3 linked regions of the Drosophila melanogaster genome follow. The protein of the gene in region 1 interacts with the protein of each later gene in a biochemical or structural test. Each region holds a gene or a part of one and is shown on either strand. Other genes may lie near its edges.

What was found.
Region 2: the proteins of Bap60 (region 1) and osa form a complex in vitro, tested with the Drosophila melanogaster proteins (one study listed by BioGRID).
Region 3: the proteins of Bap60 (region 1) and Bap111 form a complex in vitro, tested with the Drosophila melanogaster proteins (one study listed by BioGRID).

Annotation. Positions count from the first base shown.
Region 1 is NC_004354.4:13,156,219-13,162,525, reverse strand, and holds Bap60 (brahma associated protein 60kD), read left to right. Parts: upstream 1-3,017; 5' UTR 3,018-3,152; coding exon 3,153-3,260; intron 3,261-3,328; coding exon 3,329-4,612; intron 4,613-4,672; coding exon 4,673-4,828; 3' UTR 4,829-5,081; downstream 5,082-6,307. Other genes in the region: Lgr4 (Leucine-rich repeat-containing G protein-coupled receptor 4), read left to right, coding at 1-111, 170-243, 319-608; CG12096 (uncharacterized protein), read right to left, coding at 1,067-1,436, 1,493-2,643; CG4332 (uncharacterized protein), read right to left, coding at 5,663-6,307. UniProt on the Drosophila melanogaster protein: Involved in the recruitment and site-specific anchoring of the Brahma complex at specific promoter sites.
Region 2 is NT_033777.3:17,713,316-17,720,229, forward strand, and holds the start of osa (osa), read right to left. Parts: upstream 5,036-6,914; 5' UTR 4,641-5,035; intron 3,620-4,640; 5' UTR 3,452-3,619; coding exon 2,537-3,451; intron 1-2,536. Other genes in the region: Pxt (Peroxinectin-like), read left to right, coding at 6,256-6,421, 6,716-6,914. UniProt on the Drosophila melanogaster protein: Trithorax group (trxG) protein required for embryonic segmentation, development of the notum and wing margin, and photoreceptor differentiation. Required for the activation of genes such as Antp, Ubx and Eve.
Region 3 is NC_004354.4:9,147,744-9,154,511, forward strand, and holds Bap111 (brahma associated protein 111kD), read left to right. Parts: upstream 1-1,565; 5' UTR 1,566-1,679; coding exon 1,680-3,929; 3' UTR 3,930-4,233; downstream 4,234-6,768. Other genes in the region: fh (frataxin), read right to left, coding at 628-882, 952-1,269; His3.3B (histone H3.3B), read right to left, coding at 6,369-6,497, 6,637-6,768.

The sequences.
Region 1 (6,307 bases):
GTCACTGATCTTCATCCTCTTTTCCTACATTCGAATGTTGCAAGCGATAAGGGATTCGGGTGGCGGAATGCGAAGCACTCACAGCGGTCGCGAGAATGTGGTAGCAACTCGGTAAGTTTGGATAATTCAAGTAAAATGATTTAATTATTGAAATATCATGTTTTTACAGCTTTGCCATCATTGTGACCACCGATTGCGCCTGCTGGCTGCCCATAATTGTGGTCAAATTGGCTGCTCTTTCAGGCAAGTTCATCGGCAACGCCTTTAAATGATTTATTTTGATTATCAACTTATTCGTATATATATAACCCCTTTCAGGCTGCGAAATCTCGCCCGATCTTTACGCCTGGCTGGCGGTTCTTGTGCTGCCAGTGAACTCGGCCCTCAATCCAGTGCTCTACACATTGACCACTGCGGCCTTTAAGCAACAGCTGCGTCGCTACTGTCACACCCTGCCCAGCTGCTCGCTGGTGAACAACGAGACCCGATCCCAGACCCAGACTGCCTACGAGTCCGGACTGAGTGTCAGTCTGGCGCACTTGGGCGGTGGTGTGGGCGGCGGGTCGGGGCGAAAGCGGATGTCACACCGGCAGATGAGCTATCTGTAGGCGGGCGCAACTGGCTTAAAATGCAGCACGAGATCAACAGACTGGGGCTAGTGGGTGGGTGGCATTACAACAGGACACTTCCATGTAATTGGTCCCTTAGACTATTGGTATTATACGTACTTATTGATACTTATTCTAATATCAATTTTAAATTACTTATAACATTTGAGGATATGATAACATAAACCTTAGACAAGAGATTCCAGCTATTTAAGTTTCTTTTTTGTATATTATTTATTTTACCAATCGTTTTAAGGCAAACCTCTTACAACTGTCCAAAGAATATCCTAACTATTTGTTGCATCCCCATTTATTCGACCTGCCCAATGGGATATTGTTACATGTGATCTAATAGTTAAATCAAATTTTAATTTTATAAATACATATTCAGATGTTAATTGAAGCTTTTGAACATAGGACTTGCAATCGAAGGCCGCAAATGCCTGCCATCCGGCTTTCTATGCGTTGCCCTGAGGTTCAGTGGCTACATCGAGATCCGCCTGGACGTGATAGGGTCCCTCGTTCACATAGGCCGTGAAACGGATGGTTTCGGTGGGCGAAAACTCAGCGCTAGCGGACAGAATCTCCATAATTTGCCACTTCATATACTTAATGTCCCTGTGCAGATCCTTTTGACGCGAAAGAAGGAACTCCACAGCACCGCCGGTATTCTTTAGAGCTACAATGCCCCAGTTGTACTTACAAATGGTTTTCAAGAACGACAAGGCGGCCATTTGAAGATCGGGGAACGGAGTGTTTATCAGGTCCATAATGATATTAGCATGCGCTCCCCCAGCGAAGCACTCGTACCAGTTTTTACCAATGTTACTGAAAAAGAAGAGAATCATTAGAAGAAAAACTTCAATTATAGAGTTAAGCATTACATGATTTCTGTGGCAGGCGGCGTCTTGAAGTCATAAATCACATCCAGGGAGTTGAGCAGCCTCTTCTTGATGTGCGCCGATAGCTTCTTAGTATGCGAGCCATACTTCTTAAAGGACTTCTCCATGGCCCCGCTAAAGTGCATGTTCAGCAGTATCTTGCCCTGTGGAGTAGTGGCCAAATTGGCAAGCGTATCCATGGCAGTGGGCAGAATACTCTCATCCTCCGATTGAAGCTGCATGAACAAGCAGGCCAGCATGTGCGGGTAGCCGCCAATGATTTTCAGAGGCTGGTATACGGAAATTTTGCCGAAAAACTTCATAATGCTGGGAACGAGCAGGGCGTCTAGCGGATGCTCTTCGACGCGTTGGACCCGATAGCTGATTATATCCAAAACGCGACGACGTTCCATGTAGGACAGACCATGGTTTTGTTCGGCCAGTGGCACTAGGAGCTCCATTACGCTAGCCTGCAATAAAACATCGTCGTTATCCAGTTCGCTGAGAGCCGCATCCAGAATAAATGTAACGTCACTGAGTAAGGTGGCACTTTTCTTGGCCAGGACCACTGCCAATTCGTAGGCGCGACAGCGCACGATCTCATTTTGCTTTAGGAGCTGTACTAGCTTTGCCTGCACATCGGCATTGCTGATTCGCTGAGGCAGCACGATGGATAGGATATTGATGGCCAGAGAGGTACTCTGCGTATCCGGTTGTTTCAGCTCGTCCAAGATGAGGAAAATAAGCTCATTGTTGGGCAGGGTGAGAACCTGACCGACGGTCAACTGGCGAAGCAGCTTCTTGAACAAACTGGCCAACACCTGGGCACGCAAGGCTGGATTCGAGTGGGTCAAGCCACGTCTTAGCAGACTGGACAGCTGCTCGTCGGCGGTGTCCATCGCCAGCTGATCAAGGCAGTGGCACAGCAATTCCAGGGTCACGTCCACGGCCTGATCCTTGGGAACATGGGAATCCGCGGCGGGATTGGCGCAGTCATACAATTGGTCCGTGGTCAGCAGGCGTTCAATTATTTGACGCGGAAGAGCCGCCTCCTTTGCGATGGCTGAGTTCATGGCGGTCAGCGCATCCAGCCTTTGTGGCTTCGACTCCAGAGCCTTTAACTTGGTGACCCACCAATTGTCTTCCATTTCCATTTGTTTTCTGTGTTAAAATGACAGTCGGTTTCAAACCTATCGTTCTTCGATTTCAGAAGACGTTACTTGTCCGAACTTATTGGCGACTATCGATATTGCTTATGTTTATGGCTTGACACTGCAACTATCGAGCGTTTGGGCAAACCAATGTTTTCGATCGATAGTAGCAAGTGCTAGTATATTCCTTATCGTATTGTTTGTTTGTTACAAATGTCTTGAAAGTTTTTAAGTATATTTTCAAAGCCAACTATATAGCTGTAACTCTATTGAAATGAATAACTTCGATTAAAGTGCAAAATGATAGCCGCAGCCCTGCCAAACGTTGTAATATCTATCGCCCAGTCGACCACCACCAGTAATAGTGCATCCCTGTTTTGACGCCATTTTACAGGCGAAATTGTGTGTGTGTTTGACGCGTTGTTGTATTGAAACAAAAAGGCAGAAATTTTCCTTCGTCTGCAAAGGGCAATTGTTTACGGCTGGAAAAAAGGGAGGACTTCGTAGCAAAGATGTCGCAACGCTTTGCACCTGGCCAAGCGCCGGTGCAGTCGCGTTATCAGCCACCACCACCGGCGCCCGGCATGCGTCCCTATCCGCCGCCAGGCGCCTCTTTTCCAGTGAGTTTTCCACGCATTATCCAGCACCTACCGTTTCAATTAAGCATGTACAATCTTATCCGCAACAGCCGCGCGGGTTTCCCCTGCATCCGAACACTACTCAACCTGTTCCCGGCACGGCGAACGTGGCCGGGGTACCGGGAGTTCCTGGAGTACCCGGCGTACCGGGACCATCGCTACTGCAGCGCGCCGCCCAACAGCCGGGCTTTCAGAGCAGCCTTCGCGGTACTGGAGCCGGAGGTGGCGGTGTTGGATCCGGCGGAGGCAGCAAGAGGTCAAATGAATCCCGCAGTTTGGGTGGCGGTGGTAGCAAAAGTGATTTTGCGACGGCCAAAAAGAAAAAGAAGCTGGCCGAAAAGATACTGCCGCAGAAGGTGCGGGATCTGGTGCCCGAATCGCAAGCGTACATGGATCTGCTGACGTTTGAGCGAAAACTGGATGCCACCATAATGCGCAAACGTCTGGACATCCAGGAGGCCCTCAAGCGCCCCATGAAGCAGAAGCGCAAGCTGCGCATCTTCATCTCGAACACATTCTATCCCAGCAAGGAGCCCACAAATGATGGCGAGGAGGGCGCCGTTGCCTCTTGGGAATTGCGGGTGGAGGGTCGCCTGTTAGAGGATGGCAAGGGCGATCCCAATACAAAGATCAAACGCAAGTTTTCGTCGTTTTTCAAGTCGCTGGTTATCGAGCTGGATAAGGAACTGTACGGTCCGGACAACCATCTGGTCGAGTGGCATCGCACTCACACCACCCAGGAGACGGACGGGTTCCAGGTGAAGCGGCCGGGCGATCGCAATGTGCGCTGCACCATCCTCCTGCTGCTTGACTACCAGCCGCTGCAGTTCAAGCTGGACCCGCGACTCGCCAGGTTGCTGGGCGTACACACACAGACCAGGCCGGTGATCATATCCGCCCTGTGGCAGTACATCAAGACGCACAAGCTACAGGATGCCCACGAGCGGGAGTACATCAATTGCGACAAGTATCTGGAGCAGATATTCAGTTGCCAGCGGATGAAGTTTGCCGAGATACCGCAACGCCTCAATCCGCTGCTGCATCCGCCCGATCCGATTGTGATCAATCATTTCATTGAGAGCGGTGCAGAGAACAAGCAGACTGCCTGCTACGACATCGATGTGGAGGTGGATGATACGCTCAAAAACCAGATGAACAGCTTCCTGATGAGCACTGCGAGCCAACAGGAGATCCAGGGGCTGGACACCAAGATCCACGAGACGGTGGACACGATCAACCAGATGAAGACGAACAGGGAGTTCTTCCTAAGCTTCGCCAAGGATCCACAAATGTTTATTCATCGCTGGATCATCAGTGAGACGAGGGATTTGAAGGTTAGTTCTTTTTTTTTCTTTTTTGCCTCATACCGTTGTCTAAACCTTTCGTCCTTTCAGCTGATGACCGATGTAGCTGGCAATCCGGAGGAGGAGCGTCGGGCGGAGTTCTATTACCAGCCATGGACGCACGAGGCCGTTTCGCGCTACTTCTTCACCAAGGTCAACCAGAAGCGGGCCGAATTGGAGCAGGCGCTGGGCATACGCAACGGCTAGGTGAATGATGAGCTGATCATCTCCACCAGCCAATTCGTGGAGTCCACCGTCAAGAGACCTCCATAAACCGTGCGCACGGCAAACTCTTTTTCCTTCGCCAGTTTAGTTTAAGCTTAAAATATTTCCTTTTTTTCCGACAAGCCGAACTCCATCCCGTTCCAAAACGAAAATCCCCTTTGCAGTTGTCCCAAATACCCACATCCAGCACAAATATTGGACTTAACTGTAAGCTAATAAAATGGCATACAAATATAAAACTGTCTATAAAATTTGATTCGGTTCACTTTTAGAAACACTAAAGTTTAATTTTTATTACGAGTGATTTCAGTTGACTTTATATATATTTAGCCTTTTGATACTTTTGGGTTCCCTTTAAATTTTAGAAAATGCATTTGTTGGTTAATTGAGATTTTAGAATCACTTGTAGCCTTACGATCCTATACGATTTCATGTTAACTGATTGTTTCTAAAATACGTTTTGATCTACATTTGGATATATTATTGTAGGGTTTTAGCTGACCAATCTAACAATGTGAAAGGCCAGCGTTTGAGTCATCTCACAATATTTCATAATTTATACTTTAAAATTATGTGTTTTAGTAAGTTCCATAGTTCTGCAATCCTTTGATGCTGTTGATTTAAAATTGTATAAAACGCATTTTCAGTTGATGCTTCTTAACTTAACGATTTACGCACAAGCTTTAAACGGTTTAGACTACAACACAGGATTAATATCACTAGTAAACTAAAGACGGACTCGGATTACTACGTCTCGGGCTAGACCTCAAGCTATAGGCGGAATGTGCAACCTTTACTCCTTTTGCTGATATAGGATCAATTTCGCTTCTTGCGATTGGCAGCAATGGAAGCGGATGAGCTGTTGCCCGTATCCGGGGTCTCGCTAATGGACAGACCCGTGTCCAGCCGACTCTTGTCAACCGGATACAGCCAGCGCTGATACAGATAGATAATAAACACAATATCATCGCGCAGGCAGGCCACCCGATGGGCCGTGGGCATGGTGATGATGAAGGCGAAGAAGTCGTCGATGAAGGTATTAAATGCTTTATACATAAATGCGCGCCACGGCAATGCGGCCACAGACTTCAGCTTGTAGTTTACAAACAGTTGCGGCAACATGAACAGGAAACCGAAGGCGTAAACTCCGTTCACCAGTGAGTTAAGTGTCCATGAGTACCAGGAGCGGTGTGGTTGGTAGAGGAGCGAATAGACCGCTCCGCATATACAAAGCGGATACAGCAGATAGCTCAGATATCGCATGCCCTGTCTGTCAAACTGATCAGTCTTCTGCTCCTCCGCCAGCTGACCTGACTTCACGCCAGCTTGGTCACCATTCCGCCGGTCAACTTGCTCCAGCTTGCGACGAACCAGGCCACTGAAGCTAAGCTCCAGACGGAAGATTTTCTTGCACTTCCACAGCTCAATGAGCGTGCCCAGGCCAACTGGCACAAGTACCAG
Region 2 (6,914 bases), on another chromosome or scaffold:
TTGGATAGCAGCGCTTCTAGACTCTTTTTCAGCCTTTTTTTTTTATTTCGCACTAGCTACCTACACATAGAGACACACCAACACTGAGCCATAAACAAAAGCTCTCGAAGGTCGCATCACATCGCATCGCATCGCACCGCATCGCACACGTCTAACCCTAGCGGATCGCTTTGATTTGTGTGCTCACACATAGATTTGTTTATATTTCTCTGTCTAATCGTCGACATAAAAGTTCGTTGACTCCCATTCCGAGACATCGCATCTACATCCGCACCACACCACACCAAACCAAACCATTCATGAAGTACAAAAACAATCGATCCTACTGCAGTGACATCAAATATGCCAGAAGCAGGCAGACCGATGACTACATAGACACGGAATCGGGCCACAAATATGAGTTTGTTGGGCTGCGGCGGGTTAGCCCCCTAACTACCACACTACCCCACTAATAAAACAATTAACCGGTTTCCGTTTAATTCAAAACGTGAAAAAATCATATCACGTGCTTCTCCATTGGGGCCAACAAACCAAGCAAACCAAACCAAACACCAACTTCAAGCGCATTATCGCTTGACACAACTGATAGGCAAATTCTTGATATCAGGGATTACAAAGAGTAAAACACAAAACGAACTGTGAAAAAAATCTACAGGTACTACAAGTTCATAACCAACCAAAAACATTATATTTCTGTTTATCCATTAAAACGTATAAGGTGTGGGTTGTGGGTCGGTGTGTCCATTAGTTAAATTGTATAGGATTGTATGTTTTCACACGAGCGACTTTTTACGGTATCTTTATGTTCCGTATAACACTTTTTTACATTCGCTTTTAATACTATGGAGTTATATCGACTGATAAAAATGGCTTGACTCATTACTATATTACTGTTTGATATATGTTTTTTGTTGTCTATAATTATAGTCATGTCAAGAAAACAGTAAGAAATAACTACTTCATTAACTGTGTAACAAACCCCTTTCCATCTTTTGCAAGTTTTGAGTAGTAGTATCCACTTCTTTCTTTTAACGTTTAACACTAACAATGCAATGATAAGCTTTAAAATTATTCCAATCAGACACGAGGCCAACAGGCCGTCGATAATGTTGACATGAAGGGGACAGGAAACCCTAAAAACCCTAAAGAATGTGAATGAATACCTCAACATTTTTGTGTACGAAACTCTTTCTTGTTATTCCGCTGCTTCTTCTTCTTTGTCTTCTTATTTTACCGTTGCGGTGCGGCCTTTTGTTGTTATTGTTTTGCGGCGGCAAGTGCCGGTTCTCTGCTGTCCGTCTCCCTCACTCTCACCCGGCTTCGCCCAGTAACAACAACTAAAGCACAACAACACCCGGCACTTAAACAGCGAATTTTCAAGGGGATGGGGGTATCTACAGGAGGAGGAGGAGCAGGGAACTAAGTGGGAGGGGCGGGCGAAAAAGGCGCGGAATCTGAGTACAATGTTTTTACGTTATGTGTGTCAGTGTGTCTGCCGCTTCTGCCCCTTTTTTATATTCTTTCCTTCGAGTGGGACTTGGCAAATCCTCAGTGAACTGAATGAAGTGCGACCAAGACGAAACCCTAAAAAGTAACAGTAAATATTGCAGCCTCCCTCCCACGCACACACACATACACACACACTCCCAAACGAATACATGTGCACAAAACGTGACGAGCCCCTCTCCATGGAATGAGTGGGCAGTGGGTGTGTGGAGTGCGGTGGGGTAGGAGATTGGGGGAGGGAGATAGCTAGCACAAAGCCACCAGCGACAACCGCACCAACAACAGCATGAAACACATGCCGTGGAGGCCTGCACATGGAAATACTCCAGTAAGTAAGTGTGTGTGGGTTTGGGGTCGATGGAATCAAAATCAGTGTCAATGTCAAGACAGCTCTAAAATAAAAAAAAAATACATAAGGAAACCCCTGGCGATAAGATTCTTGGTATTCAGTCTTTAAGAGGTTGCCTTTAGGCACAATGACACCATTTCTGGTGCAACAACTAGATCATTTAATATTCTTTTCGGAAAATGGTTATTTTGTTACAGAATACACAACATTTATTGTGTCCTTTTCATTAAGTTTCTATCCTGGAAGGCGTTTAAGCTACCATCCAGTTTTTCGTTACTTTAAAGCCGAAGGTTGCCCCCGCAATATTGAGAATAAATATGAAATAAGATACTATAACTTGAAAAGACAACCGCATTTTCTATTTTCGGAAGCTGTGAATTAAAACGAATCATAAAAACACTGCTTTTGGTAAATACTTCAAGGCATTCCTAAACAACGTATTACACCGGAACAAAGTATTTACAACTATTTCAAGTTCGGAGACTATTTAAGCCGAATACTCTTGACTTTTAGATGTATCTTCCACAATATCTTGTATCTACAGAACTTTCAAACATTTTTATGGACTTGCAATGATTTCTCGTGAACGCAACTAAATATACCTTTCAATTTACAACTTTTCTATCCCAAAAAAGCATGTTATCCTTGTTATCCCCAAATATCCCCTTTTTGATCACTTACCGGTGGTGGTGTCCTGTACTGCTGTGACGGTCCCAGTTGCGGACTGTAGGGCCTTGGTGGCGGTGCCCAGCCGCCCTGTTGCCCTCCGTACGGCGATGGCTGGTGCTGCGGTGGCGGCGGTCCATGTCCTGGTGGAGGGGGTCCACCGGCCTGCTGTTGCTGAGCCGCCGCTGCCGCTGCCGCCGAAGCGGCCGCCTGCTGGGGATCGTAGGTGTTGGCGTAGCGATGCTGCGGCGGAGGCGGCGGATTCGAGGACTGAAGCAGAGAGTTTAACGTTGGCGTGGGTCCCTGCGGAGGCTGACCGGGTATGTAGCGCTGCTGGGGCGGACGATTAGGTGAGCCACCGGGCCCCGGTTGCTGCGGGGGTTGCTGTTGAGGATGTGGCTGTTGTTGTTGTGGAGGCTTTCCACCTGGCAGCGGCTGGCCATAGCGATATGGATCCATGTTGGGATCGGCGTGGTAGCGACCATACGCCGGATGTGGATGAGGCGGCGGCAAGTGAGTGTACTCCTCCTTGACACCGGGCGCATGCTCAGGTGCTCCTCCGGGCGGTGGTGGTGCAGGTCCGCCGTGGTGCTGCTGTTGCTGCATATGGGGTGGTGGCGGATGCTGCTGTTGCTGCTGGTGCAGATGATGATAGTGCATGACTGCAGCTGGGTCCGGTCCTGGTGGTCCTCCAGGACCAGATCCTGGGGGCGGTGGTGCGCCGTATGGATGTGGGGCAACATTTTGTTGTTGCTGCTGGATGCTGGGATCGCTACCGTTGTTGCTGTTGTTGTTGGGTGTGGGCGGGCCCGAGGTTGGCGGTGTAGCGGCACCAGGAGCCGCTCCAGCCGATGGGGGCGTGGCAGCAGGGGCGGGAGCGCCACCTTGCTGCTGCTGCTGTGTTTGCGGCGACTTTATTTTCTCATTCATGGCTGCTCATCGGCTTCTGGCTGCGCTGCTCCCGATCTCCCAGATTTTCCGGATCGGATTTTCCCAGATGTGTGGCGGCTACTGATGGAACACCGGTAACCACCAACAACAACAACGCTGACGCTGATGATGACGACGACTGCAGCGGCGAGTTTGAGGTTATGTTAGCTGCAAGTTATCAAAAACGGGGGATTAGCATTTGGCAAAGGGGGTCTGGCTTATTAAAGGGGGCAGTCCTATATCACTGGGCCTAAATCGAGCGGGTTAAACATAAATAATTTGTACTCGTTCGTGGGCTGTTGTGTATTGAAAAGTCCGCTACTAACACACGCACACACATGCTCACTCGAACAGGCAGCACCAATACCACAACAATTTATTTTCCGCCGCGTACGGTGGGCAAATCGTAGTGCGTTGACAACCCTGCCGCAACCGCTCTCGCAGTTTGAGCGCATCCACTCTCGTTGGCGCTCTCGCTCTCTCTTTTCACATTTGGCGGCTATACACGCACACGCCGTATCCCTTTCCGTCTCACTTGCACTTGCTCGCCATCCAGGCTGAAGGCATATGGCGCTCTCGCTCGCTCGCTCACTCTCTCCCTTGCTCGCTTTATTAGTTTCTGTGTGAAACGAATGAAACGGGCAGCACAGTAATGATTTTTTCGTAATTATTTTCTATGCCGATTTTTCGCGTTTACACAGCACTGGAATGGAATGGACGAGGGGGCATCATCTCACAATTGTTTAACTTATTTTCTTTTCGTGAGTGGGAGAGAGAGGGGGGCTAACGCTTAAGATTTATAAATAATTGCCGCGCCTGCTTGGCCGCGTTTGTTGCGCGTTCACTTTTGGCCGCTGCCGTTGTCTTGAGAGGCTCTCTTTTTTTGTTCGGCTGCTTGCGTTTTCCTGCGGTTTTTCGCCAAGTGTTTATGAAGATGATGATGATGCAAGGATTCGACATCCAATCATTTGCATATGTATACACACACGCACTCACTCGCACACACACTCACACAGCCTCCAAAGTGCATCGTCGAGAGGAGAGAAACTGAATTTTTCACTCGCCCTCGGGCGAAAGTCCGGCGGCAGATTTGTTGTTGGGCCAAGAAGACTCAATATATATTTTGCGGGGCGCTTTGGTTTTTGGGGCTTTTCTTAACCAGAAATCTACATACACGCACACCACTTACACATAGAAGAATATTCACGCATTGACGACCGTCCACAGACTGGCTATATATACTAAAAACGAACTCGCGTGAGAAGACAGGGACAGGGCAGCAAACTCGGTATACGAACGGAACGAAATGAAACGATTCAAGTAGTAGTGTATGCAAGTCTTGTCTGTCTGCGCCTGGCGTTCTTTTCTCTTCTTTTTTTCGATGGTTTTTCGCCAGGCTGGGCGCTGCCAAAACGCTGATACGGCGGCCACAATCACACGCGGCTAATCGCCAGTTGGGCCCTGCACAGGCTGCACATACTTTTCACTATTAATGCGCTGTATTTCACTTATTTTTCGAACAAATTCGCAGCATGACGAAGAAGCGAGCCTGTACAAGATTAGAGCGGGTAGCACGCACGATAGTATCGATACGTACGAGTATTTGGCACTGCGATACATTATCGGTGCTCGTTTCGATAGCCCCCGATAGCTCTAGCACGAAATTTTATCGCTTTATCCATATTTTATACTATTTTTATTTATTGGACTTCAATGAATATTTATTTTACGTTCTGGTTCGCTTTTTAAATATATATGGTAATCAATAGCTGGCGAATTAGCGATATTTGAGTGTGACGCAAAAATGAGTTGGCATCGATATCGATTTCTCGCTACTCTGGGACGCCATCTTTATTGCGGTATTTTAAACGGAAACTTAACTCAAATTAAACGGCGTGCTAAAATTTTCCATTTTTTTCGAATAAAAGCACGTAAAAGTTTGTGAAGATGTAAAAGTTATAAAAACTAGAAAGCCTTATTCGTGGCCAGCGCTTTCGTTTTAGAAATACGTCAATTTAAAGTTTTTAAGGTAAATTGCAAAATTGCAATAATTGCAATAATATAATAATAATAAAATTTTGGTAAGTTATAAGAGAGTAAATACAATTTTGAAAGTTTATACCCCCGTTAACAAACCACTTGAATTTAGAGTGGCAGAACTATGCAACTACAGCGAGTTTAAACATCGATATATTCGTGATTTTTGGTTTGCTTATTATCGATTCCATACAAAACTACCGGCATAAGCAATTTTAAAATAGACGTAAACAACATCAACGTAATTAATCCACAAAAACAAATTCTTTTATTAATTTTAATTGATGCAATACATTTTAATTTTTGTGAAACTCTAAATATCAATAGTCGCCCTATGCATTGATCATTGTCACAAACATTGTTAAAATTTATTAAATTTATTTTGGTAGAACACTAGGTTTTCGATTTACTGGCTTCCGGATTTTTACTCATAGGTTTTAAAAATATTTTTTGCCAAGGATATCAACTAAAAAAATATTTGTTTATTTTTTTATAATATTAATGAAATTCTATATTGAACATTTTTATTTTTTGAACTGCTTGCACAATTTGCTAATAAGAGAAGTTGCGCTTAACAGTAAAATGTTACTGACATTAACAGCACACGTACGAGAATTACAGTACACTGCTTTCGACTTGCTGTGATATCGAGCATTCCTGGTATCGAGTGCAAAATGGCGGCATTTTAAGTTCAATTTAACACGATTAGGTTGAGCTTGTCGATTCTTTTTTAAGTATAAGCCAACAAATGTTTCATTAAACGCATAATGAGTCGCATTTTATTTATTTTGTTGCTACTTATTGTGACGCAACTGAGCGAGTTGCAGGCGGCAGCATTTTCTGTGCGCCAAAATCGTTTTGATGAAGTTCCTGATTTGCAGACTCCTGCACCTCTGGCCACTTCCACTGAATCTTCTAAGAAACCCGAAAAAGGTTGGTTACATATGTACGTTTAGTGATATAAATTGAATATCTCGGCAATTTCAAAATGGCGTAAAGGGTGAAAGTGTTCTTGTCCGCTCTCTGTGAATATAAGTTACGGTTAATCGCTCTACACTGAAAACAACTGCATAAAAAACTTTCATATTTACATAATTAACAAAATCAAATTTTTGTAAAATTAAATACAATATAATATAAAAGTATAATTGTTTCTTCAATTTTAAAATTATATTTTTATGGTTATTTTTATTTCGTAAATTGTACAAATTTGGTCTTTCTGTGTAGCTACCAGTGGTCTGCTGAAAAAATGCCTTCCCTGCAGCGATGGTATAAGATGCGTGCCCCAAATCCAGTGTCCCGCCCACGTTCGCATGGAAAGCCATGAAAAGCCCCAAATTTGCGATCTCCCGGCTGGAAAATTCGGCTACTGCTGCGAGACTGGACAGAATCACACTGCTCCCAAGCCGGAGACCTCTCCCAAGGA
Region 3 (6,768 bases), 4.0 Mb from region 1:
TTTTTTTTTTTACCATACATGTGTGCTGCTGCCAAAAAAAAGAAAAGAAAATAATCACTACCTTCATTTGTTTATAAAACACCGAACAACAATAGAATTCAGAAAACATAAATCTGAAGAGCACGTGAATAAACATACACAATAATTCCGGAAATCAACTTTAATCGACTTTCGTTTGGAATTATTAGCTGGGGGAGCTTTGAGTTCTGAATTCTGTGTATTGAAATAAAAATAAACGAAATGGAACGTACAAGTGACAAATAATAAAATAAAATAAAATATGTATAGCTACATATGATGTTCTTCAATGGTGATTTGATTATTATTATTTGATTTATACATTAAACAACTGATTTTTAAGTTTATTCCTCTCAAAAACAACAAATTTAAACTTCGAAACCAAAACTAATCGTACATAAATGAATAAGCGAATGCAAAGCATTTATACCAGAAGCTAAGCTTCACAGCTCCAGGGAAGTATAAGTATATACCTTTGCTCATCCGCAGCAGCAGCAGTTCCATGTATATCGAGTGACCACTGTGCCAACAGATGAAGAACAATAAATATATCAAAATCGAACGTTTCAACCGACTTTTTATGGAGGAGAATTTAAACTAATCACGGAATTAACTACAGTAGGGCAGGCGTAGGAAGTCCACGGACTGTGACTTCAGTATGCCGGGTATCTCCTGCTGCAACAGTTCGTGCAGCGACTGACCACTGTGCTTGTAGATCCATCTGCCCGCCGCCACAGTGCCGACGAAATCGTATCGCTTGGGACCGCTGGTGGGCGAACTGAGCCAGATCTGCTTGTTGGGCGTCTGCCGGTTGATCACATAGGTGCCGTGTTGTCCTCCCAGGTTCACGGTTAGCACGCCATCCTGTGGAAGCGGAAACCCCGCGAGGATTAGCAGGTCAATGGAATGATGTAATAGCCGAATGTCACCTACGCTGTAAGCCACATCCGTGCCCTGCAGCTCGGAGGCGTTCTCCGTCAGCTCCTCGAAGTAGTCGCACAGTGCGTCCAGGGTGTCGGAGCACACACGCTCGTAGGTGGCGCCGTCCAATGTGGATTCCGTCTCAATTTGACTGCTAAACAATCGCCGGTTGGCAGTGAATTCCTCGCATTGAATAGCAACTGCGGCTATCGCTGGTGTGCTGGGCAGGATCACTTGGCTGGCGTGTGCTTGGGGCTTTGACCACCTGCCCATGGTGGCCAAGCATGCCCGACCAACGATCGAACGGACCATCAAACGACCGGCAAACATTTTTTAGTTGTTTACGATTTGTTTATATTTTACAAATCCCAGTTGCGGGGCTGCCAACTTAATGGAAAATGATTTGCCGTTGGTATTTTCTAGATTCTAGTGTGGTATAATTTTTGATTTCTATAAAGCTGAATAAAAATGAGAAGTTACAGATTTTTTTTATTAGTAGCAGCAATTCAGCTAAAGTGTTCTGCTAGTTTTAGGTAACTAAAATTTTGTATATTCTCTAGCAGTTACTATTTCCTTATCATATATATTCCGCTATATATACCAATTCCCGGCTTATATGATTTTTCTTAGAATCAGATACGGCCACACCTCCACCAACGCCGACAGAAAATGGCGTCTGTCTGAAAATTGTTATTTCTCTTGGAAAATCCATACAAATTTGACCAGCGAATTGCACAAAGATGGCCCTGCCAAGCAACTACAAGCAGATAGCCGTTGGCGGCCAGGGATCGGCCACACCACTCCAGGGCGGCGGCGGTGGCTCCGGCGGCGGCAGCCGGTCGCGTTCATCCGGCGGCGGAGGTGGTGGCGATCGCAACAAGGATCAGACGCCCATCTTCACGCACAGCAACTATGGGAATCCGGCATTCACGCCACAGAAGGTAACCAAGTCGTCGAGCAGCAAGAACCAGAACGAATCAAGGCTACCCAAGCCACCAAAGCCGCCGGAGAAGCCCATTTTGCCCTACATGCGGTATTCGAAACGCGTCTGGGATAGCGTCAAGGCGAAGCATCCAGAGCTGAAGCTGTGGGAGCTGGGTAAGAAGATCGGTGCCATGTGGAAGTTGCTGCCCGAGGATGAGAAGACGGAGTTCATTGACGAATACGAGGCGGAGAAGCTGGAGTACGAGAAATCGCTAAAGGCCTACCACCAGACGCCCGCCTATCAGGCCTACATGTCGGCCAAGAGCAAGGTGAAGACCGACGTGGATATGCATGAGACACCGTCACGCGGTGGCGGCAGTAAGTCGCAGCATGAGCGACGCATCGACATTCAGCCGGCGGAGGACGAGGATGACCAGGACGAAGGGTATACGACCAAGCACTTGGCCTACGCCCGCTATCTGCACAACCATCGCCTGATTAACGAGATATTCTCGGAGGCCGTTGTACCAGATGTGCGTTCAGTGGTGACCACCACGCGGATGCAGGTGCTCAAGCGGCAGGTCAGCTCGTTGACGATGCACCAGACCAAACTTGAGGCGGAACTGCAGCAGATGGAGGAGAAGTTCGAGGCCAAGAAGCAGCGCATGGTGGAGTCCAGCGAAGCCTTCCAGGAGGAGCTAAAGCGCCACTGCAAGCCGGCGGTCGACGAGGAAACTTTCCAGAAGATGGTGCTTCGCATGTACGAGGACATCAAGCGCGATCGCCAGCGATTGGATGAACCGAATGCGAATGCGAATAGCGCAGCGAATCCTGCTGCAGCTGCCGCTACAGCTGCCGCCGCTCCAGTGACGAGGAGCGAGGAGGCAGTGAAGCCGCCAACGCAGCCAGGTCAGCCCGCTGCCACACCCGCTGGCCAAGAGCCGGCGTCGGCGGTACCAGCGCCAGCAGCTCCGCCCAAGGAGACACCGCCGGCTGTGAAGCCCGCTACACTCAATCCCACACCGAGTTCAACGCCTACGCCGGCGCCAGCGGTGCACGTGCACGAAACTGCCAGCAAAACGGATCCCGAGCCCATGGACATTGAGCCACCGCCGAAGCCATCGGTTCCGCCGCCACCCATCAAGCCAGAGAAGCTGGAGATGGCCGCTGCCCTGCCTCCGCAGTCAACGCTAGTCGAGCCACCCAAAACGGAACCCGCCAAAGTGGTGGCCCAGCCCGGCAAGGTGCCCACACCGGTGCCGACACCCACACCGCCGCCTGAGGTGGCTCCAGCGGCCGGAGCAGCTACTGCAGCGACCACAACAACGACGACGACACCAACGCCACCGCCGGTGCCACAACAGGTGCCACTGCCGCAGCAACAGGGCGGGCCAGCTCCACCGCCCGGCATGCCGCAGATGCATCCACATCCCGGCCATCCGCCACCCGGACATTCCTTGATGCCACCGCACATGGGGCCGCATCAGCCGCCGCCGGGAATGCCCGGTCTGCCGCCGCCACCTCCGCACACGGGTTATGCTAACTACGGCGGACCACCACATGGCCCGCCGCCTGGACCACCCGGTGGACCAGCACGACCCTATTACCAGCCCCAGTACGGCGGACATCCCACGCCACAGCCCTACTACGCACCGTTCTCGCCGTATCAGCAGTCCTATGGCCCGCCACCTGGCTCGCACTACATGTCACCGCGTCCGCCGCCGCCGCAGCACAATGGCAATCCCGGGCATCCGTATGCGCCGGAGCATGGAAGCAATCCACCGCCACCACAGCAGCAGCAACAACAACAACCGCCACCAGGACACCTGCACGAGCCGAGCGGTGGAGGACCCGGGGCCCCAGGCGGTGGAGCTGGAGCGGCAGCAGCAGCGGCGCCCGGAGCCGGAGTGTATCCCACGCCCGGGGCAGGAGCGGGACCAGGAGCACCACCTGGACCAGCTGGAGGAGCACCGCTGGGCGAGGCCGCAGTAGCTGGGGGAGTAGCTCCGCCAGCGGCAACAGCACCTGGCAAGCATCCAGAGGCGGAGAAGCACGAGGCGGACTAAGACAAGGAATCCCACCACCCAGATCCTAGTTGTGGTCCCTAACTTATATATGAATCGATCCCTGGTGTTGTAACATAGCTGTCCCCTCCCGGAACTTCCGGAAGGCAAACAACCGGAATGCTCTTAACTTGAAATCCCTATTTAGGCGCCACACCTAAGAACTCCACATCAATCCCATTCTCAAATTAAGTTTATATCACTTTTTTTTCGCGAAGCCTAATTTTAATATTTTAATAACTGAGTGTGCGTCGCATTCTGGACTGTATGCTAAATATGCAAATAAATTAAATGTACGATTATATGTAAGTGGAAAGGTGTTTAAATTTTGCGTTCAATTTGCAATTTAAATGGGTATGCTTGAGTTATAACGATATTTACACTGACAAAAAGATGGAAAACATTGGTAACTTAAATTAAATAAATTATTGCTTCAATGTACATTATTATAAATATCAACATTTAATTACAAAGATAAGCCCTTAACCCCTATTGGGCGTCTTAGCTTACGAACAAAGGGGTTTATTAACACTTATTGGGCGCCTGTGGCACAGAACCACCGCTAGGTGGCGCCAGTTAATAGCAGCCTTGAAAACGCAAATCAAAGACAAACAAAAAAAAGGGGGCAGCGCCAAAGCCACCCACACACATACAGCTGCAGCCAGCCAAACTTGCACACACAGAAACGAGCAAGAGTAACACACATACACACGCACGCACCGAGATTAACACACGTAAACAAAGCAAATGACGTTTGGTTTCGATTTTTGGAGTCAACTGTACCATCGCCACCTATCCCGCCCGCTCGTACACACTATTCCCGTCTCGCTTTCGCAGAAAATACAATTCGTTGGTGTTGGGTTTTTTTGGTTTCTTCTATAGAAAAAACCGTTTATTTTTTATTTTCTTTTTTTTTTTTGCTGATGTTTCCAGTTATTTTTGCTGTTGCTGTCACTGATTTGTTGTTGTAAATTGTTTTTGTGTTTTGTGGGGGATTCGTTTTTTGTTTTCTGTTTTCATATTGGTTCTTGTAAGCTACGACGATACGAATAGACACATATTTAGTCCGATTTGTTTAAATGTTCAATGTGAAACTAGTTATCGACACCAATTTACAGCTATATGTATATTTATATATATATATATGCATGTTTTATGGGCGTTTACAATTGATTATTTTGCATGTGTTTCAAACTACATATAAATATTGGGAAATATTCAATGCTCTGCTCGGCGCTTTTGCTTTTATTTTGTATTGTTATGTGATTTCTGTCTTGGTTATTTTTATTCGATGCTCTTCCAAATCTATAGATGTGTAAGTTAATCTGATTGCTGAATCATCTTTATATCTTTTTTTCATCTCCCGAAGAAGAATCATCTTCTATCGTCCGCCTAAACGTATAAAATGCATGTAAATCTAAAATCTTATTTAATCAACTAACTCTGTCACGCCCATCCCTTCGTTATGTGTATATATATATATATAACTTCTATATATATATATATATAATGCTCTGATTATGATTTGCAGTAACGAAAAGTGAACAGAAGAAAGAGTATTAATATCTAGTTCTTTTCCTTCCGCATAGGTTTATATTTATATTTATATATATATATATATTTATATATATATGTATTTATGTATATATATGCATATACGTAAGTGTAAAGTTAAGTGTACTCGATTCGGTCTTCGGTGTTATATATGGATATTATCTTCATAAAAGCCGCGTGCCGTCAGTGGCATCGCCAGACGGCCATGCCCTCGCCGCCCATCCAGAGATCCGGGAATCACCGCCAGGCGGTCCGCAACCGTCTGTCCGCCTTGCCACGTCCAGCCGACGTTAGATTGGCCCCGATCTCCAGGCTCCGCACATCCCGGCAGCCAGATGGTGAACCTCTCCTCGATCGAAGCGATAAAGGCGAGGCAGGCGCCTTAAAGATCACGGATTACCTGGAAACCGAAGCCCGCCAGCTGGACAGTTGTTGGAGTGGTTGGTGGCGGATGTTGCAGGCGGACAGGCGACAACGGCCGCCCGGTGGTATTCCCTCCTTCCAAAACGAAGAGGTGGACCCGGATTTGGAGAAGAAGGAGCACGGCGCAACGTACACGGTGACACCGACGACGCACAGGCGAGAAAAAAAACTTAAAAACTAATTGATAATAGTAATAATAAGAGTTATAAAATAATTTTTAAGCATTACAGTAATGTTGTGTGTTGTTTTGTGTGTGGTGTTTTTCTTATCGACAACGTCATGCTGACGATTCGATTGAACAACAAAAGGATGATAAATGTATACATGTAAATATGAATGATAGATTGGATCAATGTGTCGCTGGTATAGCTCCTTGGCGTGCACCTCTCCTACAACGGTACGTGAATGGTCTACTGTTCGGGAATGGACGACAGTGATCGAATCTGGCGTTCCTGCTGATCCACCTTAAGCACGCTCGCCACGGATGCGGCGCGCCAACTGGATGTCCTTAGGCATGATTGTCACGCGCTTGGCGTGGATAGCGCACAAGTTGGTGTCCTCGAAGAGACCCACCAGGTACGCCTCAGATGCTTCCTGTAAGTCAAGAGAAATTCATATGAGTTGGATAACCAAGTTCCTTTTAGATATTAGTAGCCCCCCCTTCATAATCCCATGAATCCTGTCATTTTTAGTTAAGTTAAGCCACTCTGATTCTTTGGAGCATAATTCTCACCTGCAAGGCACCGATGGCAGCCGACTGGAAACGCAGATCGGTCTTGAAATCCTGAGCGATTTCACGAACCAGACGCTGGAAGGGCAGCTTGCGGATGAGCAACTCGGTCGACTTCTGGTAACGACGGATCTC